Linked DNA regions of Rhinolophus ferrumequinum. The protein of the gene in region 1 binds, or shares a complex with, the protein of each later gene. Links are inferred from orthologs where the notes say so. Each region holds a gene or a part of one and is shown in the gene's direction. Other genes may lie near its edges. The genes, in order: EMC2 and EMC9.

Region 1 (15,596 bases):
GCAGCACAGAAAATGCTAACTAGGGATGTTTTGACATTTAAAAGGGAAAAGAGCAGTAAGCAATGAGAGTCTTTTTGGGAGCCAAAGTATTGATAAAATTTGGCCTTGCTTAAATTTATTAAGAAGCAATCATCAATGATAATATGGCAGCTACCCAATGAATTATCAAGGGGCATTCTCAGTGTATTGTCTTTGGAATTTTCTAGTACTTCATGGAGATCTTGAGTTCTAGAATTTTAGAAATGCTATTTGGAAAGCCATTTTTCAGAGTTATACTGTTATTCTTGGTAAAATATTAAAATTTAAAATTATTTGGATATATTTAGAATCTGAGGGGAAAAAAGAAAGAACTATGAAGTTCTAGGTAATTTATCAATGGCAGTAGCATTAATTCCCAACCCAAGAAAATAAATAATTACTGACTTGTGTCTCATAAAAACAAGCAAATTGTCAAGCCTCTGTGGGCTATATATATTCTACTGTGTCTTTTCAACACAAGGCAAGCATGGCTGAGCTATTAATCATATACCAGAAAAAGACACTCTGTGGAGTTGAAATGTAATTTCCATGTGAAATAGCTTCTGAATCTAGCTAGTACTACAGAAGAACACACACTTCTACCTCTCATCAAAACTGAAAGATTATACTCAGAATGAAAGAATAATAATGGCTACTGTGGCAGCTACAGAGATGCAGTTAGAATCACCCTTCAAGATTCACTTGCTATTCAGCAGCAAGGAGTGCAGGGAGCTGGCACCCTCTAGCTATTAATTAGTCTTCAAGATTCATCTCAGCTTGAAAGCTGAGGCCATGCCCTTGTAGGTAGCCTCTAGCCAATGACTGAACACGTAGGGGTCCTAGGACCTGGCCATTTCTGCCCAGTGTAGGCTTCCTCTGATGGGTAACCTTTGCCCTGGAGTTTTCCCACAGAGTTGGCTGATACTACAGCAGATCCAAATCACGGTGTGAGGCTCTTTCTGTCCAATCCTAGTTCCTACTCTTTTCTTTCACAGGTAATAGATGAGCACTGTGGTCTGAAAGCTTTCCTAATCCTATTCTGCTTCCTCCCCCTTTTATCTTTGACGTGGAGTGCCCTCTAATAAACCTCTTGCATTCAGAACACTATCACATCTGCTTCCCAAAGACCAAAATGATACAGCTACTATTTACTAAGAACCTACTATGTGAAGGAGTGTATCATAGTGTGTTTGGGGAAATTATTTAACCACTCCCAACTGTTCCTTCATCTGTAAAGTGAAGTTGTTGTTAAGAATTAAATGAAATAATCTACAAAGAGCAACTTGTACAGTGTGTGGTATACAGTAAGTACTCAATAACTGGTATATAACACTGTGTGTTGTGTCATAGGCCAGATTCTGTGTGAGGAATTTCAAGCTTATTACTTCTAATACTTGTTATAATCAGCAAGTATTATTATGCTCATTTTACATGAGGAAACTAGGGTTCCATGAAGTTAAAATAACTTGCTCAAATTACGTAATTTACATAGCTATTATAGAATGTGTAACCTGGAATTAGAGCCCAGCAGGTTTCGTGAAAAAGAGCAACGTATGTGTGTATGTTGGCAAAGAATCCATTGCTGATACCTAGAGTGTAAAGAGCTCTACCCCCTCTATGACATGGTATGTAAAATTTGAATTTAACACAAACCACTTTGAGGATTCTTTCATAACTCTAAGTCTAGGCTCTTAATTCCATCACATACATGACATCAGAATCTGGCAATGGGGGCTTAAGACTAAGCATTTGTCTCAAAGCTTAGAAGGGCAATATATAATGCCACTGCCACTCCCTGATGAGTACTGGACAGTTATGATTGTAGAATGGCTCTCAATTTGGGTTTGTATGATGTTTTCTAATGATTAGATTGAGGTTATGTTTAATATTCCATAATCTTGCTATTGCTAGAAAAATTACATCAACTGAAATCATTCCTCCTCTGTTTGTCCCTGCCTCCACCCCACCCACAGGACAAATGTTCAAGTCCATTATTAAAACATGAAAAAGAAATCTGTAATAGAAACATAATGAGCAGAAGCAAGTTATTAAAATGCTAAAATGTTGTAGTGAGGTGGCAGTAATTTGAACTGAGTGGCAGCTTTTGCAGCTCACCTATATTGTTCCTTACCTCAGTTTTTCAGATAAAGAATGTTAAGTATAATTTTAAAAATTATGTGTTTTTTTTTTTTAAAGCATTTGAGATTGTGCCGTTTGCTCAAGAATGAGGTGATGATGGATGGGGTTGATGGACTGGATTAAGGGGGAGGTTGTTTTCTTGCATTCTGCCAGAAAACCAATCTTTTTTCCAAATAAATCCATGGGGTTGACTAGACAAGCCATCCCACGTGCAAAAAAGCATATGATCTGAAAGATGAGATGGCCACTTTATCCTAATGTGTCTACTGGACTTCAAACCAACTTTGGCCAAGAGTAGTCAGAAAGACTATAGAAAGAAAAGGATGACCAGTAAATGACCTTGTGGCCTGGTGGCAGATAAGGTGCATCAGAAACTACAGGTCTGAGAGGATAACTTACTCATTTGTGGCTAGAGTGATGCTACCAAACCACCAAAGAGAGGGACTGTTAACAAAGTGTCCTTCAATAGATGATTGGATAAAGAAGTTGTGATATATATACACAATAGAATACTACTCTGCCATAAGAAAAGATGGAATAGTGCCATTTGTGACAACTTGGATGGATCTTGAGATTATTATGCTAAAAGAAATAAGTCAGACAGAAAAAATTGAGAACCATATGATTTCACTGCTATGTGGGATATAAAACTGAAAACAACAAAGGAACAAGACAAACCAATAAATAAACAAAAACTGATAGACACAGATAATAGTTTAATGGTTACCAGAGGGTAAGGAGGGAGGGGAGTGGTAGATGAGGATAAAATGGGATCAAATATATGGTGATGGAAGAGGAACTTCCACATTGGTGAACACACAACGTGATATATAGATGATGTATTGCAGACTGTACACCTGAAACCAATATAACTTTACTAACCATTGTCACCCCAATAAACTTTAATTAAAAAATAAAATAAAATTACATCTGTAACAGAATAACTTATAACTATAAAAATATGTAAGATAATATTCAGTATATTTTTGCATGAGTTTACCCACAATGCAATTAGTTTCTTGTGAATAAATACTTTTTTCAAGTAAAGAACATTTTTCAAGTAAAGAATTCAGTTATAGTTGTATTGTAGAAAATGGAGTCTAGATGGGCTCCAGAGACCATCGGGTCACAGTTACAGGATATAGGGACTCCTGGATGTTTGGTACCCAAAAGGGATGTTTGTGAAAATATATTTCTGCACAAGGACTATTATATATGCACAGATGTATGTGTGTATCAGAACAGAATAGGCACTTTGGGGCAATGAAAAAATACTGCTAGAAAAAGTAGACTCAAGTATGGTTATAAATCTCAAAAAAGAAACAACTCTAATTTATTGCCCATGTGGGAGAAATTCTGGGTGTATTCTTTCTGGATGTACTTTCCTCTTCACTGTTATAACTATGGCACAGAGGGGTAATTATCAGTTTGTGAATTCTACTGTGAAAGGACCAAAGTGACCTCATTGGAAATGTTTCCCAGAGACTCTCCTTTGCTTTCTAAAATAATATAATTGGATGCGAAATAAATGGCTAGCACATTTTAAAACATGTATACTGTAAATGACTGCAAATTTGGAAAAATTAGAAATGCGTAAATGCTATGGTTGTATCAGCAAAGGGGGCATAGGCTCTTGCGTTTTGGGGGAACATATTAAGTTACGTAATCTTTTAAAAATGTAATAAAAAACAATGTTCAAAAGGTTCCTAAAACAATTCCATGTTAATCTGGCTTTTGGTAAATAAAACTCTAAGGAAAACTTTCCTCTAAACGTGACTGTGTCACAGTGAAAATTTATTGACATGGAATGAAGATGAAATAAGTAGTATTTCCCCTTAAATACAAAGGGATTATGGTTATGATTCACTAACTAGAAACAATAACAAGATTTAAAAGCTATGGTAAATTTTATGAGTTGTAGTGAGACCAATTTACTTTGAAGGATAATTGTCAAAGTAAATAGAGGTTATAAACTGTTTCATACTGTGGGATACTTTAATTCACTATGATTAAGACAGAACTAAGCAGAGAGCAGATTCTAAATAAATGATTTGATAAAGATGTTGAATACTGCAAAATCAATTATGTTATCCTTTAAATAATGTCCATTTTATAAATGCCATAAGGTTTATTAAATTTAAGAAGTCGCTTTAGTCTTTCATAATGTCTGGAGATATAAATTGAATTAAGTAAACCCTGACCATAAAAGAGAAGCACTGTAAAGTGCTTTGGGGCCAATCTGGCTTGATAAATAATCAAAGCTTATCCCATCTCAAAGAAAATGTGGGCTTATTCAAAGTTATTCCTTTCTGACCCTAGTTCATTCTGATGTACTATCATTCTAACTATTCAAACATGATCTTGCAGGGGAAAAATGAAATTCATAAATAGCTTTACACAAAAAAAGCACATCATAGAGCATAGTCCTGTGCCTTTTTCACGATCTAAACCACTCATCTCCTCCCTATGAATTTTCCGTCTTTGTTACTTACTAGTGTCAGGAACTTGAGAAAATTATTTCACATCAGGGACTCAGATTAGAAAACATGTGCAGTGTCCACTTGTGTTTTTCAAAATATGGGTCCCTTTTCCATTAGTGGGTCACAGCTAGTATTTTTATAAAATAAAATGGAATTGACTTATTTTGAATAGAAAAATATAGAAAACAAGATACATTATAAGGCTAGCTTGTAATTTTGCTTTTTAGTTTTAAATATATGTATGCATACTGTGTGATGATGCAAAATGTATTCCTTAATATGGTTGCAAGCAAACAACTTTTTAAAAAGTATTCTAAAGAATCGTTAAGTACCTTCTAAGTCTAAATGAAATTATTCTAGATTCCAGCTCAAAAATTCTGTAAATTACCTTTTTAAATCTAGTATCAGATATGGTTTATTGCCTGACAGACAATAGTAGCTAGTTACAATGGCATTTAGCTAAAGTGACTAGAAAATATTTACTCCCTCAATTAGCTATAACTGTTAATATCGATTGTAAGTTTTTAAAAGACACCTTCTTCAGCTTTCACTCCTTCAAAAAATTCAACAAAATGTTGGGAATCAACAATTTAGTACAAAAATTAATTCGTATGTGTATGCCACAAATATATACTAGTATGTCACGTACCGTGGTAAGGAGCTGGGAGATATAAAAAAAATGGGCATGTTCCTCACACTCATTAAGTTCATAATTTTTAGGAAATCATCAGCTATAAAATAAAAACGTCCTATCCATAACCAAACAGTAGATTTACATGTGTACTACTATAAAATATTATCCTAATAATCACTAATATGAGCTATCATTTTTTGAGTATCTAATTCATTCATTCATTAAACAAACATTTACTGTGCTCCGGGTGTTTTTATAGGTTGGATGTTCCAAGGTTAAAACGACAAAGTAGGAGGTCTGACAATTAAGTTGGTGAACGTGTTGCAATGATGTTGCTAACCTTTTTTGATATCAGAACGATTATTCATTATGAGTTTGTACCAACTGGACAAACAGTTAACCAAGTTTACTATTTGGAAGTGCTGAAAAGGCTGCATGAAAAAGACGATGTGAACTTTTCGCGAACAATTCATGGCTCTTGCATCACGACAATGCACAGCTCACAGGGCACTGTCTGTGAGGGAGCTTTTAACCATTAAACAAATAACTGTATTGGAACACCCTCCCTACTCACCTGATCTGGCCATCCCGTGACTTCTTTCTTTACCTGAAGATAAAGGAAATATTGATAGGAAGACATTTTGATGCCATTCAGGACATCAAGGGTAATACGACGACAACTCTGATGGCCATTCCAGAAAAAGAATTCCACAATTGCTTTGAAGGATGGACTAGGCGCTGGTGGTGTCAGTGCATAGCTTCCCAAGGGGAGTACTTCGAAGGTGACCATAGTGATATTCAGCAAAAAGGTATGTAGTACTTTTTCTAGAATGAGTTCGTGAACTTAATTGTCCGACATCATACATACTCTCAAGGAGTTTATATAAAATGGAAAATACAGAAAGTGAATAAAAATATATCATATAGTGATAAGTGTCATAATAATGTAACAGGCATTAACTAGGGCTTTTTATTGGATAGTCAAAGTAGGCCTTTCTATGACTAGATACATTTAAATCTGAGATATGAATGACAAAAAGACAGCCACTTACCTGGAGAGGAGCATTCCAGGAAAAAGGAAAAGCTGGGCAAATGTCAGCCCCATGGCAGACAGGAGTTTGGCATGTTTGAAGTAGGTGAGAATGGCTAAAGTCTAGTGATGAGAGACAGAATGGTAGATAAAGTAGAGACGTAGGAGGGAGCCAGACAAAGTGAAACCCTGTAAACCATGGTAAAGCGTTTAGAGTACGTTTTTATCGCCAGGATCAGCCATTGGAGAGCAGTAGGCAAAGGACATTTGTGATTTTTTTTTTTTTAAAGACGAGTAGGGCTGCTGTATAGAAAATAGATTTTACACAGCAAGAATGAAACTAAAGAGGTTAGGAGGCTATTACAGTTATTCAGGTAAGAGGTAGTTGTGGCTTAGATTAAGGTAGTAGCAATGGAGATGAAATAGATTTTGGGGAATGTTTTGGAAGTACAATGCAGAATTTCCTGACAAGACTGGATATAGGGCAGTTGGCAAAGAAGAGAATCAAGGATACTTCCTAGAATTTTAGTGTGTGCAAATAGGCAGATGGTTTCATTAACTGTGATGGGGAACAGCAAGTTGGGGGACTTGGTGGCAGGAATCCAGAGTTCTGTTTGCAATATGTTAACTTTGAGAGGCATATTAGCCATTTAAGTGAATATGTCAAGAAAGCAGAACTGGGTTTCAGGGCAGAAACAGGACTGCTGGCTGTAAATAACTACGTAAATAGTTATGTAAATTTGTTATGTAATAACTATGTAAACAGAACTGGTACCTCTATGATAGTGTCATGCAATAATTTGTTTAATCCTGATAACAATTCCAGGTAAATCTTTTCTTTGTATATAGCTATAATTAGCTTTTTCTTATACATTAGCAACTCTGATGCTCAGAGATACCATGCAGAAAGTCAACCAGTTACTAATGGTGGAGCCTGGATTCTATCTGATGGAGTTTTTATTCTTACCATTATATGAGGCTGCTTTATTGCAGCATTCGAATATGTGAATTGCTGAGTGAAGGATTTTTAGTTTTTTAAATGGGGGTTTTGTTTTTTTTTTAAGGTCTTTTTAGTCTGGATAGAATGAAGCTCTTACAGAATCTGACTTTATAAATTCACAGGTGCCACTGATAGTTCCTTTTTTTTTTTTTAACTCTATTCCCTTAGCTTGTGGGATATGACTCTTTTTCTTCTTTCTCATATCTTGATTGCCTCTTTTCACGGAGCCTTAACTATGGCTATTATGCAGGAATTTTTGGCCATCTTTCCTCAGTTTACCTATTTCCCCTTTACAATTTCATGTTCTTATTGCTCCAAATACTAAATATGTGCTTACGACCCTCAAATTTTTGTTTTGTTGTTGTTTGTTTGCACTTCAGACATTTCTCCCTGGTTCTAGTAGACGAGGTCCAAAGGTTCCTGAAATCAGTCTGGTGGGAAAGGGTGGGGAGGGAGGCTCCCCCGTGAGGTTAAGAGGAATGAAGTGTAGGGGCTGGATGGTCTCATTCGTACATTTATTCAATAATTCATTTATTTAAAAGCACTTACATGTTGGCTGCTCTTACGGAGTTTCAAATCTAGAGCGGAGGGAAACTGGTCCACGAGTGTGTTAAGGCTGTGGGTTGGCAATGAAGACATTCATGTGACATAAAAAAGCCCTCGGCCACTGGAACACAATTTGCAAAGGCTGAATCCCACTTAGTCTCCCAAAGAGATTTAACGAAAATTTTGACGTGTATCAGTTTAGTTGAATATTAAAAAGGAAATGGAAAGCGAATCCTATTAAGGAAGGAAAAAAGTGAGGGACAAGTGATTCGGTGGAACGTTGCGCTGCAGCAGGCCAGGAGAACGAGGGACTAATCAGGGATTGCGAAGAGAAGAAGTACACCTACGTAGAGAAAAATGAAAAACCTCAAGTGGCACACATTAAAAACCCAGCATTTGTTAAAGAGCTATGATAAACAGACACCTCACCCGAAGCAAGTTCTGCCGCGGGTCCGGCCATCAGCGCTTCCTCTGCATCCCCCGCTCGCCCCTCCCCCTTCCGGAATCGCCCCGCCTTAGAGCCGCGTACACGTGCGCGGCGAATCCCGCCCCCTCCTCTCTCTCGGCGAATGAGAAACGGTGTCGTAATTCGCCACCGCCCGGTCGCAGATCACGTGATCGCGTCTCCCCGCCCTCTCGCCCAGTTGCCTCTGGGTTCTGAGAAGATGGCGAAGGTCTCAGAGCTTTACGATGTCACTTGGGAAGGTAACTGCGGGCGGGTTGAGCGCGGAAAGACCAAACCTCTGGGGAGGGGTTCGGGAGATCTACTGCTCTAGGAAAGCTGGATGCTCTGGTCTGTTTTCGGCACTAGAGCTCCCTCTGAATTGGGTGAGCCGAGGTGGTGGCTAAGGTGGAGGTTGAGGCTGACCTGACCTGTTCCTTGGCCCGATCACCCACTGGAGTCTGCGGTATTCCGGTCTACTGCTTGTGCTTATCGGTGGACTGACCGACCTACCTCCGCGCCAGTCTAGCGGCCCAGGGAAGCTTCCATTATGAGGCGGGAGGGACCTGGAGCTGCTGGGCGACGCGGAGGCGGCGAGATAGGTGTTTGCTGAAGCTTCTTTGCAGCCAAGAAATACATGACCTGTAAGGCCTTTATCAGGTGCCGTTTAAGGGTTACAACTTTGTGCAGAAAAGATGTGTAGAAGACTCATGAACAAATATGAGTGTCCTGCGTGACACTTTACGTTTCCATCCCTCTTCAGAACTGGGTTTCTGATTTCTTCACTTTTAAATTATTCCCAGTACCACTTCCCCTCTAAACACATCTACACACATAACACGATTTCCTTGTTATTCTTGACCAGTAATTCTTTTTCTGAAGGGGAAAAGAACTGGTTATCTGGGATATGTGCGCAAGTGTGATGGACTTCTTTCCCTATCCTGGTTTAATGTAAGGGAGAGTGTGTTCTTTAAATCTGGAATTAGCCAAACTTTGGACCAATTCTGTAAGAGATTTTCCCTTCTCAAAAACTTGAGCGGGAGACATGCTTGAGAGAAGAGTCTTGAGTTTCTCTAAACCATGAAATTTTTATAATTGAAATTTACATTCCCAGCATGTAACAGCAGACTTCAATAGCTTATTTTTTCAAGGAATGCCTTACGATGTTTAAAACAATGACCTGATAACATGTGGACTGAAAGTTACATCCACTGATGTTGAATAAATCTCTCCCGTATTACAAAGGTGCAAACATGTATGGGAAAAGGAAAAATTCCTTTATACTTGAACTGACTTCAGTGATTTATTATTGGTTTCATGGCCTCTAGCACACTGTGAACCTGTTTCTACCTGTATTGGAAGATTCCATTATATTAAAAGTATTAAGTGCTTAGTGATAGATTTTGCATATATCAAATTAAGTAACACATAGTCCCTACTTTCAGGGTGTTCACAGTCTAATGGAGAAGACAGATCTGTAAATACATAGTTTTTAAAAGGCTTGTCAGGATATATTCCCTGAAGCTATATGGTAGATATGTGGCATTATTTTTAATGCTTTTTAAAAATGTTTCAAATAGTTCATGCTTTATAGAAAGTGATATTTTGAAGTTTTGTTCAATATAGGTGTTTTAGATGATAGCATCATATATAGAATCTTAAAGAATGAATAGGTGGGTAAGTTAGACAAGGTCCTTTAACTTGAATCTTATTCTGTGGGCATTCTAAAGAGGAGTGATGTAATTAGACTTAGAAAAATAAATAATAGCTACTTCACAAGTTTGTTGAGGAACAAGAGAAAATATGTTAAAAGTGCTTTTAACTAAGTGTTACATAAAAAGATGATCTGTTCCTGCTTGTGTCTTTTGCTTTATCTTAAGGTATTGTCCTCCTCACTCTATGATCGGGCAATGCTGGCTTTTGTTGAATTCCCTAATTGCGTCATACTCCTCTTGTATTAAGTCTAGATACATGGCTATTCCTTCCATTAGGAGTGTTCTTTCCTCCTTGCCCCTCTCTTGCTCCCATTATACTTTGTCATTTCTCAGAATCCCCCTCAGAGGTCACATATTTCAGAGAGCTTTCCTTGACTACCCTACCCCAAAACCCTTTCCCATCCCTCCGCCAATATTAAGAAAAAGAAAAAATGAAAATAAAAACACCAACAAATCCTACCCGTTTTTTTTAACTAACTGTATGTTTTCATACTCTTGAAGCACATACCCAATTATGTTAAATTTTAAAATTTTGTGTCACTAGAATGGAGGGAGGGACCAGACGTATCTTGTTCTAGTGCCTGCCATAGGAGAGGAACTCTGTACTTATTTGTTGACTAAATGAGTTGTAAATGGGATTAATAATAAACATTAACAAATTGTTACAAAAAAAGGCCATAAATCATTTTTCTAGTGTTGGAATAATTTCTTCAGTATCTTAGATAGACTTACTTCATTACTAGGACATAGTTTTGCTCATTTGTAAAATGAGGGTTTAGACCTTTCCAGAATTAAAATTCTGTTTTAGGGGATTTTTAAGAAAACATAGTCTGTATTTTTTCTTTCAGAGACTTATGGTAGCAGATGTTTATTGTAAGAGGGTAATGGGAAAACTACAGGGATAGTTTTTTGTTTATATTTTTTTAGGAGGGGATGTCAGTTGGACCTTTATCCTTGAGAATTCCATTAAATAGCATCATAAATTAAAGCCATAGAAATGGTTAGTTCAAAGAGTACTGTAATTCTTGTGATAAGTGATAGGATAAGTGGTCATGTGTCTATAAAAGACTTATATCATACGTCTGACATCCTCCTACTCTCTTGGGTTCTGTGAAGAAAGTAGAGTATATGGTTTATTTATTGAGCCAGCTGAAAGTTATTGAGGTTTCTTATTAATATATAGAGGAGTTATTACTTAGGGGTTTGGAGGTGGAAAAGAGTTATAAAGAGGGTATAGTCAAGTTTCTTGAGAATAGAGTATTTGGGCAGGATATGGATAGAATGCCTAGCACAATGGCTGGTGTACAATAGGCACTAAATAAATATTTGCTGAAAAAAAATACATGTTTAGGTACACACTCAGTTTTGCATGTAATTTTAGGGAATTCACAGACCTCTTAACACTTATTCCTGTAAGGAGCCTGTTGATCTCAGGTTTAAGCACCAATAATAAATTAAGAAGAGGGTTAAGGAAAGAAGCATTGGGACACCAAAAATTAAGGAGCAAATGGATTTGGAGAACTCAACTCAGCAAATGAAAGGTCCGGAAAGTAAGAGGGGGAACTTTAATGTTATTAAGAAACTAATGAAGTAATTCTTTATAGAAGGAGTGATCTATAATGACATATGTAGTACAGATGTATAAAGCACATACGTACATTAGACCTGTATTAGGTCACCCTAGGAACCTTACTGCAGTGATTAGGGCATTGAAAGCAAATTGTGGTTGTTTGAAGGACTGAATAAAAAGAGAGGAAATAGAAACAGCATAAAAACTAACATTCTTCATTTTTAATAAATATTTTTTCAACAAATATTAGAATTTCTGGAGTGATAAGAGTATCTTTTTGTATACTACTGAGATTAGCTTCAGGATGGTTGCTGGTCACCAAAAAGACCAAGCCATGATTAAGGGTTTGAACTTTGAGTCCTACCCCTTGTCTTTCTGGGAGGGGAGAGGACCTGGAGATTGAGTTAATCACCAGATGATTTATCAATCAAGTCTACAGCATGAAACCATAAAACCCCCTAAACTATGGGGGTTGCAGAGCTTCCAGGTTGGTGAACACATCAAGGTGCTGGAAGGGTGGCTTGCCCTGAGAGGGCGTGGAAGGGCCTCTGCTCCCTCCTTCCATCGGGCTGTTCCTGAATTGTATCCTTCATAGTGCACTAATTATAGTAAGTAAAGCACTTTCCTGAGTTCTGTGAGTTGTTTTAGTTAGTATAGAACCTGAGGAGGGGGTTGTGGGAACATTCGACTTCATAACCTGTTTGGTCAGAAGTAGAGATGGTCCTGACTTATGATTGGTGTCTGAAGTGGGGGGACTGCGCCCTTAACCTGTGAGGTCTGATGCTAACTAACTCCCTGTAGTTGGTGCCAAGATTGAATTGAATTATTGCACACCAAGTTGATTTCACAGAGTTGGAGAATTGGTTGGCATGGGGAAAACTTGCCCGCAGAACAGTTGGTTATCAGAAGTGTTCTGTGAGTGGAAACGGACTTAACTGTATGAAAATATGGCTTAAGTAAATACACTAGGGTGACAGTAAACCCAACAGCTTTACAGATAGTATGCTGCTATATTGTTTTGATCCTACTTTCCTAACCTCATTTTTAAAAGAATATTTTTAGTTAGATATTCTTCACTGGATTTAAATACAGTAGCACTATTTTTTTCCCCTGATTTCTGTTTGCTAAGTGAATAGATTTTGTTGGTTTTTCTCCAACATTAGTTTTATATCAGTGATTAAATGAGTGACACTGTTGCTATTACATTCCTTTAGTAGTTAAAACCTTATGCAGGCTATAAAATTTGATGAGTTAATGGGATAAAGCTTGGAGATGTATGGGTTATGTGTGTGTGTGTGTGTGTGTGTGTGTGTGTGTTTGTGTGTGTGTGTTTTAAGCTGCTTTTGTCTGAAAAGCATTTGTGTTCACTAATTCTTTTGCAGTCTAACTTTATTTCTTGGGATCTTCATGTCAAGAACCATGTGTTTTTAACCAGGCACAGGAAATATATCTCCATGGTGGTTTTGGTTGATTTTCAGTTTACAAAATATTATACAGTAACAGTTTTAAGAGATTTGAGATCATTTCCAGCAAACATAAGCTCTGTATTTTAAAACTGTTTAGTTAATAAATTTGTGTGTCAGAATTTCAAGGAAATTATGCTGCTACTCAACTTAAATGCTTTTTGAACCTCCCAATACTTTATTTGGTAAAAGACAAACGGTTTTCTTCCATCTATATTTTAAAGGACTTTGCTCTTCTCTCTCTCTCTTCCTCCCTCCCTCTCTCTCTGCCTCTCTCTCCCTCTACCCCTACTTCTTCTCTTTCTCCTCCTTTTCTCCCCCTTCGTTTCCCTTCCCTGTTTCATTCTAAGTATCTTTTTATTATAAAATAAAATGGAAAGAAAATTACACAAATTTACAGCTGAATTATTTATTACAAAATGAAAGCCCTCCAAACTACCACCCGGGTCTAGAAATAGAACTTCACCATCCCTCCTGGAAGTCCCTCCCATGTGCCCCATCCCAACCACAACTCCCCTCTTCTCTCATCAGTAACCATTAGCCTGACTTTTCTAGTAAAGAACTCCTTGCATTTTAAAATAATTTATTCTCCAAATGCATATATATCCTTAGACACCATACTTTAGTCTTGCCAATTTTTTATGAAGTTTGATATATTTTAAAAGTCTCTCGATCTTTAGGTTCTTATTCTCTTGTTTTTCCTTACAATTTATCTGTTGAAGAACTTGGGCCACTTTCTAACATGTAGATTTGATCATGCTGCTTTCCTTTTGCTTAATATTTAGTTGTTTTTCTGCACCTACAGAAATAAACTTCTACTTCTTCAGTATGAAATGTAAGGCCTTTTAGTAACTTAATCTTACTTCCTACCCTCTCATCTTCTGATCTGTTTCTTTAATTCTAACTACCAGGAGTTCCTTCTGTGTGGAATAACCTACTTTTTTGTTTACTTGCTGAATTCCTCTTCAACCTCTTAGATTCAGTTCAATATTACTTCCTGTTCAGAATGAGAGTTAAGCTGATTTCTAGGTTACAGTAGAAGGAATTCACAGTATGTTAATTTGTAATAATTTTCCAAGACCATTTTTATAAATTCAATTAGAGTCTATTTTCATCTTATGATTTTTGTTTTCTTTTGTAGACTTCGAACTGTAGGGACCCAGATAATGCATGCAAAAGTAGTGAAAATCCCATGTGGTTCTCTTATATTTATTCTCTAGGTGACTAGTGTATTGTTTATTTAACTCATCTGTTAAACAAGTAATTCACCTTTTTAAATCTGTTCAACATGTATAGAAGGAAGAAGGTGGTACTTCAGATGAGTATGTAAAATTATCAGAGGTAAGAGTAAGAAAGCATGTATGTGATTGGTGAATTGGACAGTTAATTCTACCATAACTGTATAAAAAAGGAATCTTTTGTTTGCTGGATAAAGTACTCTTTTTTTTCCCCAGTTATTAATTTCTGTTATCAAAATGCTGTTCTTGGAAACAAACGTTTCTATTGTATTAACAATACTCAAAATTCTATTGACTTTTGTAGTCTGTTAGTGCTTTTGACTTTACATTTCATTTTATTATTGTGAATATAATCAAAAGAATCCTTTGTTCTATTTTTTTTGCTGTTTATTTCCTTGCATAATTGTGTATCTTTACATATTATTTTACATATTACATTTACATATTACTGTTTTAGTAATGTTACTAAGGAAGTTTTGTGATGGATATCCTTTCAGTGCTTATAGCTTAATATGACACCCTGATTTAGACAGTTTTGTATTCTGTAGTCAATGGGTGAACTTCAGAAGCGCCTTGAACTTTTTGAGATTTCTGTGTATAATTTTATGTATTTTTCTTTGAAAATAATCCCCCGCTTTTATCAAATTCTGAGTGTTGTCAAAAAGGTTAAGATCCATGATTGTTTAAAGGGATAGAGGGTCTTTGTAGCAGACCCATGCCATTCATTACGTTTAAAGATAGTTGTAATACTGGTTATAATGCATTTTCAGTCTTCCAAAGGATCGGTTGCTCTTGTTAAGTTGATTATCTGCTCTATGAACTTTCATACACAGACTTATATATTAGTATGAATTTATTTTTTTTACCAAAATAGTTGATTTCATCTTGTCAATTTTTTGACGTTGATCAAGTATATATATGTATAATAAGTTTACTTTTCAGAAATGCGAGATAAAATGAGAAAATGGAGAGAAGAAAACTCAAGAAACAGTGAGCAAATTGTGGAAGTTGGAGAGGAATTAATTAATGAATATGCTTCTAGACTTGGAGATGATAGTAAGTTCTTTAATTTATTATATCTTTGCTCAGCACATGTCCATTTGCTGTTCTTAGTTTTTTTAAAAAAACGTCATTTATGTTTTTCTGCTGTTTAATCTCAATCTATCAGTGATTTATCACTTTTTAAAAAACTTCTCAGGAAGTCTAATGATACTTTATTTTGAGAAGCATTTATAATTGCTGGTAGTGAAGCTATCAGATAGGATTTTTGTTTTAAAGCTCATAGTGTTGCAGTCCTGGTCTGGTCAAAATGTATTTCATA
Region 2 (15,011 bases), on another chromosome or scaffold:
GGGGAAGAGGAGGGGTCTAAGGTAAAGGAAGGCGGGATCAGGGAATTATGGGGCGTGGCCAAGAAGGGAGGCCTGGTTCCAGCCAATGAGAAGGGTAAATGGCCCCTGGCTCCTCCCCTAGAGCCTCACAGCCTTTAACCCTGTTCTAGAGCTCTTCCCCGCCTTCCTCCAGGCTGATTCCGCTCTTTTATGAATTGCCAAAGGAGCGGGGATAACTTATTTCCCTCAAAGCCTTCCTCTCTATCTAGACCAGTAGACCGGAGAAGTACCATTCTGCCGGAGACTCGACTCTGGCCGGCCTGAGCCCGGCTCAAGCGAACTTCTCCAGTCGGTCTTGAAGGCAAGGCGCCCTCCGGGAGGAAGCCCCGCGCCTCCTCCCTTTCATACTCTCCTACTCAGCCCCAGGCCTTCATTTCTACTACTTCTCCCACCGCTCTGATCTCTCTCCAGCCCCCTCCTCAGAGTCGAGCCTCCTCGGGAGAGCCCCAGCACTGAACACCCCCTTTCCCACTCCACCCCTCTTACCCCAGTCCCGGACTTCCCCGGACTCCCTCGCCTCTCCCTGTAAGCCCCGCCCCTTCTCTGGAAGGACTGCTCCAGTTCAGGCTCCGCGGTCCCACCCGTCCTGGCCCCTCCCTCGGACAGCCCCTGGGCTTGTGACCGAGTCGGCACCGCCTCTTCTAGTCTCAACTGGCCGAGAATGGCTGAGGGGCTCCCTACGGTTTGCGGCTTGCCAGGGGGAGGGGGAAAAGAAAGAAAGGGGTGGGGTTAAGGGGGGCGGGCCTGGACGTGGGGAGTGAAAGCGAAAGCCCAGGCGGGGAACCGGGAGACCGAAGATCTAGCAACTGGAGCAGCATGGCCAAGCCTTGTGGGGTACGCCCGAGCGGGGAAGCCCGCAAACAGGTAATGGAGACCGGAGGCCAGGAGGGGTCCAGGGAGCCCTCCTGGATGGCGGCCAAGCTGGGTGCTCCAGGGGTCCACAGCCGTACCAAAGAGCTCCCCCAACCTCCCTATTCAGTGCTTTCACTTCTGCCCTGGGGATTCCCAGAATCCTGCCCTCTGACCAGTATATGCAGTGAGCATGGGCTTCCAGAGAAATCTGGCTTGTGGGAAAGGCCTGAGCCAAGTTAGAGGGCATCCCATTGGGGGGTGGAATCTTACTCTTGACAACTGAGACCCTTAACCAACATCCGGGTACTGCTCTCTGTACAGGTGGATGTCTTCCGGCAAAATCTTTTCCAGGAGGTAAGTCTTCTGGATTCAAGCGATTTGACCCAGAATTTTAAACCGATACTTGAGGGTCACAACCTCTCAGAGTGACCCCCAAACCCACCCTAGACCTGGGCCCTATTTTCCTTATCAAGACTTCATCCAAGATAAGCTCCTAATTATTTATCTCTACCCTTAATTTGATTCCTCTACATACTCTCCCCACTTCTGCCACTTTTCTCCCCTCTTTTGGTGTTGAGGGAAAGAAACGCTGTGACCCCAAAGCAGGAATACCACAGTCCTAACCTTGGTTGTGTCACTTCCTAGCTTGAGAAAATCCTTTCACTTTTCAGGGCTTCAGTTTCCTCATTTGTAGGTCTTAGATTCAGTGATTTCCAAGGATCCTTCCAGTCCCACTTCTCAGGCATCTCATTAAATGTCTTCTGTGATTTCCCACCTTCACAATGTAACCCGCAGGCTGAAGAATTCCTCTACAGATTCTTGCCACAGAAAATCATTTACCTGAGCCAGCTCTTGCAGGTGAGTAGTGTGGGCTCCTCTTGCCCCATCCCACGGCCTCTTTCCTCTCCACTCACCCTCTCTATCTAACAACTGGGATCAGCATGCAGAGAACATTTGTGAGTGGTTGTGATTGGTGGACTGGGAATGTTAGGATGGTGTGAGGCCTGAGCCTAGATTGGGAGGCAGAGGGCGGGAGGGATGTGTTCAGGGAAGGCTGGGCATCCCCTGACAGTAAGCTCTGTGCAGGAGGACTCCCTCAATGTGGCTGACCTGACCTCTCTCCGGGCCCCACTGGACATCCCTATTCCAGACCCCCCACCCAAGGATGATGAGGTGAGGCACTCAGGGTGTAGGGCTCATACTATATAAACCCAGTGGAGATGATGGCTTTTCAACCGTCAAGACTTTTTCTGAAGCTACTTTCCCCCTTTTTACCTTAGATGGAAACAGATAAGCAGGAGAAGAAAGAAGGTAAGAGAGGAAGGGATGGCCAGGGGAAGGGAAATGGCACAGTGACTACTTAATGAAAAAGGAGCCTAAATCCCCTCTTTTCTATAGTCCCTAAATGCGGCTTTCTTCCTGGGAATGAGAAGGTCCTGGCCCTACTTGCCCTGATTAAGCCAGAAGTCTGGACTCTCAAAGAAAAATGCATTCTGGTAAGCCTGGGAACTGGGAGAAATAGAATGAGAAGACAAACCAGGCCAGACCCTGGTATTCTTCAGAGATGCAAGTCCTTCATTCAGGAACTATTCCTGAAATAGGAAGATTCCTTCTGTGCCTTGCGTTTAGATACCTTTTGTTCTGCTACACCTCTGATATCACAGTGGTATCCCTGAGATCAGAGACTCGGATATATCCACCTCCACAATCTCAGAATTCACTGCTGTACCAGGCACACAGTGCAGGTGCTATGCAAGTGAGTTGGTTTAAGAGTTTAGGCCCTAGAGGGAGACTGCTTGGAATCAAATCATGACTTTATCACTTACCTAGTTGATTATCTTAAATAAGTAACTTAGACATTCTGTGACTCAGTTTTTTCATCTGTTAAGTGGGTATAATAAAAAGATATACCTTGAAAGGTTGCTGTGACGATTAAATGAGATGTATAATACGTAGCACAGTGCCTGGTACATAATAAATGCTCAGTTAAATATGTCGCCTTAGGGAGTAGTGGAAATAGGAAGAACCCAGCAAGTTTGTTGAATGATTCCTACATGATACCTCTTAACATAGGTGATCACATGGATCCAGCACCTGATCCCCAAGATTGAGGATGGAAATGACTTTGGGGTGGCAATCCAGGTAAGAGAAGGGTGTATAAGTATATTAAATGGTGAGAGACTTGGGGAGTGGGGGATAGGAGCTAGACATAACAGAGGAGGAAGGAGATGGTGAGTGAAGGATGGAAGAGATGAAGTGTTTTCTTTGCCTCCCATCTCTTTTGTCCCCACAGGAGAAGGTGCTGGAGAGGGTGAATGCAGTCAAGACCAAAGTAGAAGCTTTCCAGACAACAATTTCCAAGTGAGGGCAGCTGGAGGGCCAGCACAGGGGGCTGTGGGGACATTTCTTTGGGACTCCCAAAGCTGGGCAGTCCCATCAGGATGATAGAGGGCTTTGGGAAGGGTCTGAGGGAGAATATGAACCCCCGTTCCTGTGGTTACTCCCCTTGTTTCCGGCAGGTACTTCTCAGAACGCGGGGATGCTGTGGCCAAGGCCTCTAAGGAGACCCATGTAGTGAGTGGATTGTCCAACAGCCTTTCCCCTGATGCTGGCTGGGGGTGGGGTGAGGAAAGGGGAATAGAGGTTCTCTTTGTCTTGTTTATGACCTTCCCAATGTGGGGAATATTAAGCCAAAAGCATTGCCTAGGAAAACTGATTTGGGCTTCAGAAACCTTAACCCCTTTCTCTGTTTGGTCCTGTGAGAATCCCATTTCTTGATGCTGAAAAGGGCTCATGTTCAAGTTACCTATTCCCTGTGTGAGAAAACCAGACTGTCCTGACCTTCAATGGGGCTGACTCAGCTTTGCTTTTCCCATCCCAGATGGATTACCGAGCCCTAGTGCATGAGCGAGATGAGGCAGCCTATGGGGAGCTGAGGGCCATGGTGTTGGACCTGAGGGCCTTCTATGTGAGTGTGGGGTAAGCCTCTAAGGGAGGTGGACCAGGAGGGGCAGAGGAAAGGCCAAGAACCTGATTGCTGCCCTTCTGGCATTCTTCCAGGCTGAGCTTTATCATATCATCAGCAACAACATGGAGAAAATTATCAACCCAAAGGGTGAAGAGAAGCCATCTATGTACTGAGCCCAGGGCTAGCAGGGAAATAAATGACCTATATTATATGTGGATTACCTCTGGTGTGTGTCATTCATTCAAAAAGCATTTACTGAGTGCTGCCTATGTCCAAGATACTGAATGTGAATGTGGTGCCAGGAAGACAAAGATGAATTAGATGTCCATCCTGTTCTTAAGAAGTCATCCTAAAGAATAGGGTGGAAACTGTTACATGCCATAATAACCATGAAGATAACCTTTATTTGGGAGTTTCACAAGATTTTTTCCATCTGGGGATCTCATGAGTGCTTCCTGGAAGGTATGGCATTTGGGCAGAGCCCTTATTGGAATAATCAGGCTATGAACAGACAAGGGGAAAGTTCTGTGGCTGAGGTCAGGGAATGAAGAAACGAACTACCTTTCATCATCACCTCATCAGCTCAGAGCAAGCCTGGAGGGACAATGAGGTTTCTCTGGAAGAATTATGGGTGAATGAGTGGACTCTTTCTCAAGCCCTGGGAGGGGAAAAAAACACTCCCAAGGCATGGAGATGAATGAAATTACACCACAGGACATTATGGGAAGGGTGGGTCTGTACATGGTTTTTTTTGGGGGGGGTCCTTTTTTCCCCTTCAGCCAATTGCTGTCTTTATTTCTGCAGATATTACATTAAACAAGGCCATGGTTCATTACTAAGTGGCAGAGCCGGTCTAGAGTACAAATCCACTCCTTCGATAGTAGGAGCGAGGCGACCCGCTTGGTGCCCAAGTTTGAAGAGCCACTGCTCCAGGACACCAGACTTCGGGCGCCCGCTCCATCCTGTAGTCTCCGCCGGGCCTTTGGGGGCGGACCGCACAGGTAACAAGAAGCCATCCTACAATCAAGAGCCGAAATCGGGTATCCTAGCCAATCAGCGTGCATACAGTTTTCTTTACAGTTGTGGGTTGTTTCCAGTACGCTGGAGACAAAGGCGGGACAAGGTTTGGACGCGGCCGGTGATAGGACAAAATGAGAACATCTAAGCCTATCAAAGGGCACCATGTGGGCGGGACTCCAGAAGCAAGTCCTGCTTAGATTAGAGCCTCCTGCTCTGGGTCCCCAAGACGAGCCTGTATCTGCCGCCGCCCTCTGGGGGCGGGCGGAGGTGGAGCTGGGTGCCGCAGCATGCAATCGGGACCGCCTGCGACCCGGCCTGGTGGGGGCCGGACTCTGGAGCCGAGGTCGCCTGGAACCGGCGGGCTGCCTTCGAGCAGTGTTAGCGTCACCACAGAACCTAAGTGAGAGGGCAAGGGCAGGGCCAGGTAGGGCGCAAGGGCGCTGGAGGAAGCTTCGCAGACGCGAGCGGGAGTCCCGCTCGCCATGGGGGAGGTGGAGATCTCGGCCAGAGCCTACGTGAAAATGTGCCTGCACGCAGCTCGGTATCCGCATGCCGCGGTCAACGGGCTGTTGCTGGCGCCGGCGCCGGCGTCGGGAGAATGCCTGTGCCTCACCGACTGTGTGCCCCTGTTCCACAACCACCTGGCCCTGTCTGTCATGCTGGAGGTCGCCCTCAACCAGGTGCCGCCGCTGGACGCTCATCAACCTCCGCGAAACCCCCGAACGCCCCTAGCAGGGTGGGCGGCACGATTTAGTTTACTGATGGCCCCTTTCCCACGGCAGGTGGATGTGTGGGGCGCGCAGACCGGTCTGGTAGTGGCTGGGTACTACCATGCCAATGCAGCTCTGAACGACCAGAGGTAAGTGGGGTAGCTACAGGCAGAAGGCCAAGGGTTATTGGGTGAGGGTGGCTGGCGTGTCAAGAGAACTCCTCTTGGTCATTCCTTCCATCTTTCCTTAATGAAACGCTTAGGAGCAGGGACTGCACACCAGGCACAAGACTAGGTACTGAAGTGAGGAAATATAAATATAAAAATGCTCTAGAGGTGGGGAGGACACCTGTGTATCAATAAGAAAAGGCTGACACCTCCTTTAGCTGAAGTGCCCCTCAACTGCTGAAAACACTGGTTGGAAGCCCAACCAGCAAAAGGAAATTTCTTTATATGCATGCAGAAAAAATTATCTACTTACATAATAACCATGTATCTAGATCAAATTATACATACTGTTTTGTAATTTGCTTTTCCCTCATTTAATAAACATCTGATATCTTTCCATCTCTACACCAAGATCTACTTTGCCCTAAAGCTATATGGTGTGAATAAGGATGTACCATTATTTATGCCTTATATTAAACATTGAGGTTGTTTCCAAATTTTTATTATAGACACTGTCCTATTACTACAGTAACTTCTTTATATAGTGGAATTTCTTGGTCAGCATATGTATAATATGAATTTGGATGGTTATGCCAAATTACCCTCCAAGAAGACCACCTTTGATTTCCACTCTTACCAGCAGTGGCTGAGTACCTGTTTCCTGCAGCACTCAAGCATCAAGCAGTTGTGCATGAAGCATCAAGCAGGCCTGACCCCCCTTCCCTGGTCCAGGTCAGCCACAGGAGAGGCAATCACTGCACCCATGTCTGAGACCTGGGAGGCGCAGCTCAGATGGATAGGGTCTGCTCAGTCCACTCCTCACGCCTCTGATCTTCCCTCTACACAGCCCTGGGCCCCTGGCCTTGAAAATTGCTGGGCGGATTGCAGAATTCTTCCCTGGTGCAGTACTTATTATGGTGAGGCTTGGGTTTGGAGGAGGGGGTTGGAAAGAAAGTAGGAAAGGGGATCCTTGAAGCCCTCACCTGCCCTTTCTTGTCCATGCAGTTGGATAATCAGAAACTGGTGCCTCAGTCTCATGTGCCCCCAGTCATCGTCCTGGAGAACCATGGTGCCCGTTGGGTCCCCAAGGACAAGAACCTGTGAGTGCCCCACTCTCTCTCGCTCTCCCTGGAAACCCAGGACACCTGGGCCTGGTGTTCTTGGTCCTGCACAAAGGGTCGCCTGGAACCGGCGGGCTGCCTTCGAGCAGTGTTAGCGTCACCACAGAACCTAAGTGAGAGGGCACGGGCAGGGCCAGGTAGGGCCAGGTAGGGCGCAAGGGCGCTTTCTCAGGCCACCCGCTCCCTGACCCTTTCTCAGGCCACCCACTCTAGACCTAACTTCTGTCGTGTGTCTGGCCCTACTGCCTGCTGAGTTAGACCTTCATGCGGGTTGTTATTTCAGAGTGATGTGGAGGGACTGGGAAGAGTCACGGCAGATGGTGGGAGCACTACTGGAAGGCCGGGCCTACCAGCACCTTGTGGACTTTGACTGCCATCTCGATGACATCCGGCAGGACTGGACCAACCAGCAGCTTAACACTCGAATCACCCAGTGGGTTGGTCCCTCCAATGGAAATGTCTGAGCCAGGGCCGGGGTACATGTGTCAAGATCCAATAAAGAGACTTGAGCTGATGGGTATTGTTACGACTATATTTATTGTGCCTGGGAGGCAAGGGGAGGGAGAAACCTCAACAGGTGGAAGGTGGGGCAAAGTCTGAAGTCCCCTGTCAAAGATAGGACGGTCTCTGCTGGATCCACCACAGTATGAGAGGAGGCGCTCAATAGATCATTCCCTTTGTTTCTCCCCTGGGCTTCTTGAGCTTCTCGAAGTTCTTCAGGATGATGTCATATAACACAGCCTACATGGCCAGGGAGGAGTGGGGATCAGTTGTAGGCCCCAGCTCTATGCCCCATTTCTAACCTTGTGGTGAGACTGAACTTGGTCATCCATCACTCCCAGCCTGCAGGGTCAGGGAGTGGGTGGCCTGAGAAAGCTGCCTCTACCCACCCTTGCCCCACCCTTTTCTCCTCACATAAGCATTGCGGATCTCCATGACCATCAGCCGGATGTCCCGGTACTCTGCTTCATCCAGCTCGTGCACCAGCTGCCGATAATCACCCTGCAGGAGACCTGGGTCAGGCCTCACTTCAAATATATCCTTCCCCCCATATACCCTGACCTCGGCCTCACCTACCACATGGGGCTGCTTGGCGGCTTTGGTCACGGCATCACCCCGCTCAGAGAAATACCTGTGGGAAGTAGAAAGGTGTGGAACAGGAGAAGGAGGAGAGAGCCCAGGCCTCTGTCCAAGCCAAAGGCTGAGTGTGCATGCAGGTACAGTTGGGCAGACACTCACTTGGAGATTTGAGTGTGGAAGCCTTCCAGCTTGGTGTGAAGGGCGGTCATCAGCTCAAACACCTTCTCCTGAGGAAAGAATGCAAGAGGTAAAGTGGAAAACAGCATGGACTAGAGACATAAGGAGGGTGGAGGAGTGGGCAGCGCTCTCACCTGAACAGCTACTCCAAAATTGTTTCCATCCTCAATTCGAGGTATCTGCAGCTGCAACCAGGTGGTGACCTGGGAGGAGGGAAAGGCATCAAAGCCACATCAGCCCTCAACCCAATTCCCAGGTTCCTGTCCTTCCTTGTTTCCCTGCCCACAGTGGGTGTAGGTATGCCAGGTCCATCTTGAGTCCCAGGGCCTGGACTTCTGGCTTCATTTGCTGTGCCCTCTCCTGCTAAGACCTGGCAAGTGCCATGCCCTAACTGGCAGGGACCAAGGAAGACAAAGGGTTTGACCTAAAGCCTGGCGGTGGCAGTGGTAGGGCTCACCAGGTTAAGCTGCTCAATGACATCCTTGATCTCAGGCTTTAGGCGCTGCAGGAGGCTCACAATCTTTTCGTTGCAGTTCACTGGGCCACAGGGAGGACCTAGAGAGCGGACAATGGGTCAGGCACATGGCTGGGACTGCGGGAGGGGTGGGGAAGAAGAATCCTTCAGGAGGAGCTCCTGGGAGGTGAGGCTCATCCTTTGCCACCATAGTAGTACCTTTGTCTTCATCTTCCCCTTTCTTCTTTTCATCCTTGTCTTCCTTCTGCAGGGAAAGAGGGGCTCTCGGGAGTCAGGCCCAAGGCTGATATTCCCCATGGTTGGCTCCCTCCTCCCAGCTCTTCCCAGCTTGCCTCCTGCTGTTTCTTCCGCTCCTCCTTTTCTTTCTCCTTGACTGGATCAGGCACTGGGATGTCCAAAGGGGCTTTCAGATTGCTCAGATTGGCTTCGTTGAGAGCTGGCTCCTGGTGCAGGGTAGGAGGAGGGCTGGAGGCAAGGGCATCTCTCTCACCTCCTCACTCACATGGCCCCTCAGACTCTCCCCTTGGCTCCTACTCTCTAGCTCCCTGCCCAGCCCCAGTACCTTTAAAAATGCATCCAACTCAGAAATCTTCTTGGGGAAGTAGCTCCCGAGCAGGCTCTCTGTCTGGGAGTGAGGTGAGGCAGGGGAGGATGGAGGTCAGAATCCAACGCCCTTCTCGGGTAGTGAAGCAGGGCTGAAGCTGCCCACCAATGAAAGGCTAAGCAGTGGGAGATGGGTAGGAACGGGGTACTGAGGGGGCGGTTCTTACCTTGGTACACAGGTCTTCACGGAACACATCCACCTGTGGGGTACAGGCAGCCCTTCAGACACCTGGCTTTATGGCCAGTTCATATGAGGACCGGTCCCTTAGGATTGTGTAGGGCCTGGCCTGGGCAAAGGTGGAGTGGATCCCCTTGGGGCGGGATTTGGGGGATGAGAACATTCCTGGCGGTGAAGTGGTTCAAGTGACAACAGATCCCTCGGGTCTCCTGGGCTGTTATAAGGAGAGGTGTAAGAGCCTTCTGTGACTCGGGCTGGGACGGAGTGGGCCCCGGGGTCCTCCCCGTGAGAAAAGCAACGAGGTGACAAGGCAGGTTCCGCACCCAGACTGTGTGTGGGCCCGGCCCCGGGCCAGCGGACTTCCCCTCCACGCTGGTTCTCCGCTTCACCTCACCCCGCTTCACTCAGCCGCCTCTCCAATCCCGGCAGGCGGACCCCGCCGGTCTCCCTGAGGCTCAGGTGCTCCGGGCACAGAGGCTCACTTGGACTCGATACTGACCCCGACTCACGTCTGGGGGCTAGGGGGCGGCAGCCTGACGCCCTCAGCCTTTCGGCGCCACGCCTCCCTAATGGGCCCTTCCTCGAACCCGCAGCGCTCACCTTGGCTTGGGCTTCAGGCTGGACCCTGAGCGTGGCCATGGCCGGGGCGGGGAGCCTAACGCCGCACGAGGAGCGAGGAGTGGGCACTGTGAAGGGAAAGCGAAAGCAGCGCGCGGAATGCGCGCGGCCTTCCTGGGTAGAGGGGAGTGGAGGCACTGGGGGAGGCGGGGACAGTCCGGAGAGAAGAGAGGGCTGGGGGGGCGGAGGAAGGCCGCTCAGGCGGGGCTCCCTCTACTGCTAGAGAGCAGCGTTTCCACCGACCTCCTCCGCCCGCTCCGCCCATCCCACCTTTCCATCCCACCTCGCCCGCCTCTCGACGCCCCGCCTCCGCCTCCCTCTCCCCCTCCCCGCCCTGCTCCCGACGCCCCGCCTCCCCCTTCCCACCTCCTCGCCGAAGTCGGTCTCTCGACTCCCCGCCTACTGCCTCCGCCCACCCCGCCTCTTCCCTCCCGCCCTGCTCTCGACACGCCGCCACCTCCTCCATCCTCTTTGCTCTCTTTCCGCTCCAGGCGTTACTGCTTCCACTTCTCGCTTCCTCTCTTCACAAGGCCCGACATCTCCTGCCACCCAGCCCAGTGCCCGCCTTTGGACTCCCCGCCTCCCATCTCTCTCTGCCTTGTGACTGCTGGCTCTCTTCTTCACCTGCTCGGCCTGGGACAGTGATAAGCCTTATCTGACCCTCTTCCATCTTTCCTCAGCGGTGGATCAAGACCTGGTCTCCCTTCGCTAGCACTGCCAGCCTGGGCTCCTGGCTCCACGGGCATCCTCTGGCCGTGCAGTGACATTCAGACGCCGGCACCACTCCAACCCAGTCAGCTCTCTCCTAACCCTTGTGTGGACTCCATTGCTCTGTAGCCCGCTTTCCACACAGCAGCAGGATCCCTCTCCTTGTTTATAACTCTTTCTCAGTTTCCCGTTGACCTTGGGATGAAATCCTCAGGGCTTTCCTGGCCCCTAAGGCCTGCCTGGACTACCTGACACCTGTTGCCATTCAACTTCACTCTCTACTGCGTTTGCCCCGTTTACTTTACACTTGTAAATACCTGGCTTTTCATTTGTTGTCGGTATCACTTTCATTCCTGCCCGTTTTAGGGCTTTTGCCCTGGCTAATACTTTTGCCTGGCACACCCTGCCCCTGCCTCACGTTGTCTGTCATTCCTTTTTCCGTGCAAATATCACTTCGTCAGAGAGAACTGTCCATCATTCTTTATAAAGTACCTCCCTGTATTACAAAGCAGCCTGGTTTAGTAACTTCATAGCACTTGGCTCTGATATTAGTTTAATTTTTGAGGATAGTGTGGTTTACACCAGGGTTGGCAAACTTTTTCTGTAAAAGGCCAGATAGTAAATATTTTAGGCTTTGTGGGCTATATATAGTGTCCGTAGCAACTACACTACTCAAGTCTGCCATTGTAGCAGGTAAACAGTTATAACTAAATAAATTAGCATGGCTAGGTTCCAATAAAACTTTATGGGCATAAATTTGAATTTCATGTAATTTTCAGATATCATGAAATGTTCTTTAATTTTTTTTTCAACCATTAAAAAAATGTAAGAACCATTCTTAGCAATCAGGCCATACAAAAAATGACCACAGGAGGGCTGTCTGTGCTTAGAGCACAGACAACAGACCCATAGTGCCCCGGGGTTTTAATCCTGACTGATAATTTACTAGCTGTGAACAAGTTACCTAACCTCTGTGCCTTTTTGCAACCGTACAGTGGGAACACTACCAAACCTACTTCATAGCGTTGTTGTGAGTGTTAAATGTGTTAAATTTATATAAAGAACTTTAAGACAATTAGAATGTTGCCTGGCACGGAGTAAGCACAATGCAGTTTTGCTATTATTATTTGTGAATTTATCATCTGCCTCCCCCAGTAAACCATAAGCCCCCAAGCAGCAAAAACCCTGTCTCCCTTATTCACAAGGTCTGAAGCTATGTTTGGCTCAATAAACATCTGTTAAATAAATGAGTACACATAGAGCCCTATGGGGAAGAAAGGGTGGGAAGGGTCCCTGAGTAGGGTGCCTAGATAGGCAGCTCCTAGAGGAAGGCGGAAGGGGATTCAGTGGAGCAGGGGGGCGGGGGAGTAAATCAACCAGGCTGTAGACAGAGTGCTGCACAGCAGGAATGCTGCCCATACCTAAGTGCGTTGTTACCTGGCCCTAGCAGTGCCACTCCTTGACATCAGAGCCTCAGATAGCTCGAAGTCTGCAAGGACTAGAAGACTGAAAGGACAGCAGGAGACATGGCCATCAAGCATAAGGAAGGACATTCAAGGAATGGTTGAGGAACCCCAGCGACCATCAGCCTTTTCACCCTTTCCACCCTTTCCAGGTCCCCCACCAAATGATGAGAGGGGCCAGAGCCAGGCCTAATGTGCCTTTATTTCTTTCAGTTGTGCTTGCGGCTGGAGTGGGGGCGAGGGAAGAGCCCATGGCCGGGGCTCCCTGGAGACCAGGGCTGATGATACCAGCTGCCGTAGGTGAGGTACCAGGCAAAGGTGCCCACTGCAGCGCCCACCACTTTGTGAGTATACTGGTGGAAGTAGATGACGGTACAGAGCAGCAAGAAGTTCCAGAGGCCCAGCAGCAGCACGTTGAGCAGGAAGACGAGGCGCAGGGGTGCACCAGCAGGTAGCCCATGGGCCAGGTACTTGGCGAATACTGCTGCTTCCTCAGCCATGAGCAGGCAGCAGAAGGTGAGCAGGAAGGTATGGGAGGAGACCGTGTAGCCCCGCCACTGGTGGCCGGCCGCCAGGCAGCTGCGTCGGTCGGGCAGCTCGTGAAGCAGCAGGCCCTGGGGCAGAGGCTCCAAGCAGGAGCCGGTCAGGTCCTCGATGAGCAGAAAGGCCCGGCCGGCCCCCCGCCACACAGCTGCCCCCACCACTAGCCGGCTAAGGTGCCGGGCAGTCACTGCCACGCGCCGTGTAGCGAGGAACACCACCAGCAACACGAAGCCCCCCAGGAAGGTGCATGTCCAGCCCCATGCCGAGTTCACAAACTTTCTGTGGGCAGAGAAGGGAGGCTAGTGAGACCTCGTAGCCCTATCTTTCCACCCTGGTCTGTGTTCCCATCACTGCTCTGTTGCCAGTTCTATATTTCATCACTGGCTTTCTGGGTCCTGTGCCTTCTACCACACCACCCCCGTGCACTTAAACTTTGCCATCTCCTGAAAGACTCACTCAGCCTTCTATGGTCCATATTTCCTCGTCAGCCCTGCTCCTGACTTCCCCTGTACCCCCACAACGCTGTCCCCTCCCCCTCCTCTGACCTTCTCCTCAACCTTCTAGCCTATTTTTAGTGCCTGGACTGGCAGGAGGACAGAAGCCTGGAGGGAGCTAGGATCCCAGAATGGAGGGAGCCGGCGCCCACGGCCTCGCGTGGACTCACATGTTGAAGAAGTTGCCGTGGCTGGCGAAGATAGTCCGAGGGTTGACATGGAACTGCAGAAGGGGCCCAAAGATGACCACTGCTGCCAACCACGCATGGTAGAGGCGCCGTAAGCAGGGGCTGCCCAGGAGGCGAGCAGCCTGTTCACTCCCAAAGTACAGCAAGGCAGAGGCCACCCAGAGCAGCACCTTGACCAGGCAGCCCAGCAGTGCCCGGATTCGGGCCCCGGCCCCCAGCCCTGCCCCCACCACCGGCCCCCGCTCCATGTTCCCTCCCCTCCCCACTAACTGCTTGCTCTGCTGGGCAGCTGAGGAGGGGCTGATGGGGCCCCCCCTGCACAAGGACAGGCAGTGACAGGTGTGGCAGACACAGAGCAGAGCCCTGTTGGCAGCTGGTAGGCGGGGGAGAGGGGCGGGGGGCAGTAAGGGGCCAGGGTGGAGGGGTGCCACGTCAGCAGGGTCCCAGCCTTGGGTGTGTGTCCTTATTGCGGTCCGTGTCCTTTCCTGTTAGCCCTGTGTCCCCTTGGCTCTCTAGGTCTGTGTCCCAAGCTGTAACCATGGTCTAGTTCATGTTTCAGGGCCAGACCTGCTGTTCCGGGTTGTCTTTGTCCATAGCCTGCTTGGGTCTGCCTGTCTGGTCAGCCAGTTAACCATACCCCACCCCAATTTTACTGTGTGTTTGCTCCACAGGGAGATCAGGGGTCAGGAACATAAAACTAACCAAACCTTGGAGGTCATTTAAAAAAATCTGTGTCTGCCTCATCATCATCGTGGCCCAGCTTCTCTCCTCAGGTCTGAGCACAGGAGCTCACCACTGAGCCTGCAGCAAGATGGCCGTGCACTGCATTGTTTCCAACTCAGGCCTGGGAAGCACGTCAGCAGGGTTACCCACTTTTCTGCACTGGGACCTCAGGGGCTTGGCGCAGCCCCAGCTTGTCTGGTCTGAGCTCTGAGGGGTTAGCTTGGGTCTAGGGCTGCTGTGTAAACCATGGTTGTGCAATGCACAAGACATCAGATCTAAAGGGGGCCCTTCTTTGGTATGTTTATTATGATGGCCAACAGATGAAATTCAAGTGTCCTGAAAAGGGCATATTATATGAGATGGTGATGGTTTAGGTTGGACTCTCAGAGTCCCCAAAAGTAGGTTTACTCCTAGGTGATGGCGAAAGCAGGGTGGAGATCTAGACGAAAAATCCTCAGCCATCAAAACATAGGCTGTGTCTTCTAACCAATTACCCTAGGCTCAGCCATACCTAAGACTTAGCTTCTCGGCCTGACTACAGGGGCTGGAGCCACAGTATGGAGTGCAACCTACCCAAGAGATGTCCCTATTATTCAGTAACTGTTTTGCAGTCCCTTTTTGTCTTCCTCATTCCTCAAAATTGGTGGTGGGATTTCAGAGCACAGTGGAGGCCTGCGAAGTAGTGAAAGGAATGAACTTAAGGATACCTGAGTTCTGGGCCCAACTATGTGACTTTGGGAAAATCAACTCACTCTCCTTGGTCCTCAGTGCCCTCCTCTGCAAACTGATCAAGATGGATTAATCAATCAGGTTCCTTCCAGATCCTGAAGCCCATCCTTCAGCCTAATTTCTGCTCATGGACCCTATACACGAATACCTATAGA

Evidence for each region.
Region 2: EMC2 (region 1) and EMC9 share a complex: the UniProt entries of both Homo sapiens proteins name them as parts of the ER membrane protein complex. The link is inferred for Rhinolophus ferrumequinum from reciprocal best matches to the Homo sapiens genes EMC2 and EMC9.

Annotation. Positions count from the first base shown.
Region 1 is NC_046297.1:49,044,496-49,060,091, forward strand, and holds the start of EMC2 (ER membrane protein complex subunit 2), read left to right. Parts: upstream 1-8,512; coding exon 8,513-8,552; intron 8,553-15,217; coding exon 15,218-15,331; intron 15,332-15,596. UniProt on the Homo sapiens protein: Part of the endoplasmic reticulum membrane protein complex (EMC) that enables the energy-independent insertion into endoplasmic reticulum membranes of newly synthesized membrane proteins.
Region 2 is NC_046289.1:74,300,104-74,315,114, reverse strand, and holds EMC9 (ER membrane protein complex subunit 9), read left to right. Parts: upstream 1-4,995; 5' UTR 4,996-5,361; coding exon 5,362-5,559; intron 5,560-5,661; coding exon 5,662-5,738; intron 5,739-6,603; coding exon 6,604-6,673; intron 6,674-6,761; coding exon 6,762-6,856; intron 6,857-7,160; coding exon 7,161-7,341; 3' UTR 7,342-7,391; downstream 7,392-15,011. Other genes in the region: PSME2 (proteasome activator complex subunit 2), read left to right, coding at 856-903, 1,213-1,245, 1,687-1,749, 1,978-2,064, 2,172-2,202, 2,290-2,387, 2,965-3,033, 3,185-3,252 and 3 more; PSME1 (proteasome activator complex subunit 1), read right to left, coding at 7,538-7,618, 7,793-7,879, 7,955-8,009, 8,117-8,184, 8,269-8,337, 8,592-8,689, 8,808-8,853, 8,942-9,052 and 3 more; FITM1 (fat storage-inducing transmembrane protein 1), read right to left, coding at 12,389-13,001, 13,387-13,652. UniProt on the Homo sapiens protein: Part of the endoplasmic reticulum membrane protein complex (EMC) that enables the energy-independent insertion into endoplasmic reticulum membranes of newly synthesized membrane proteins.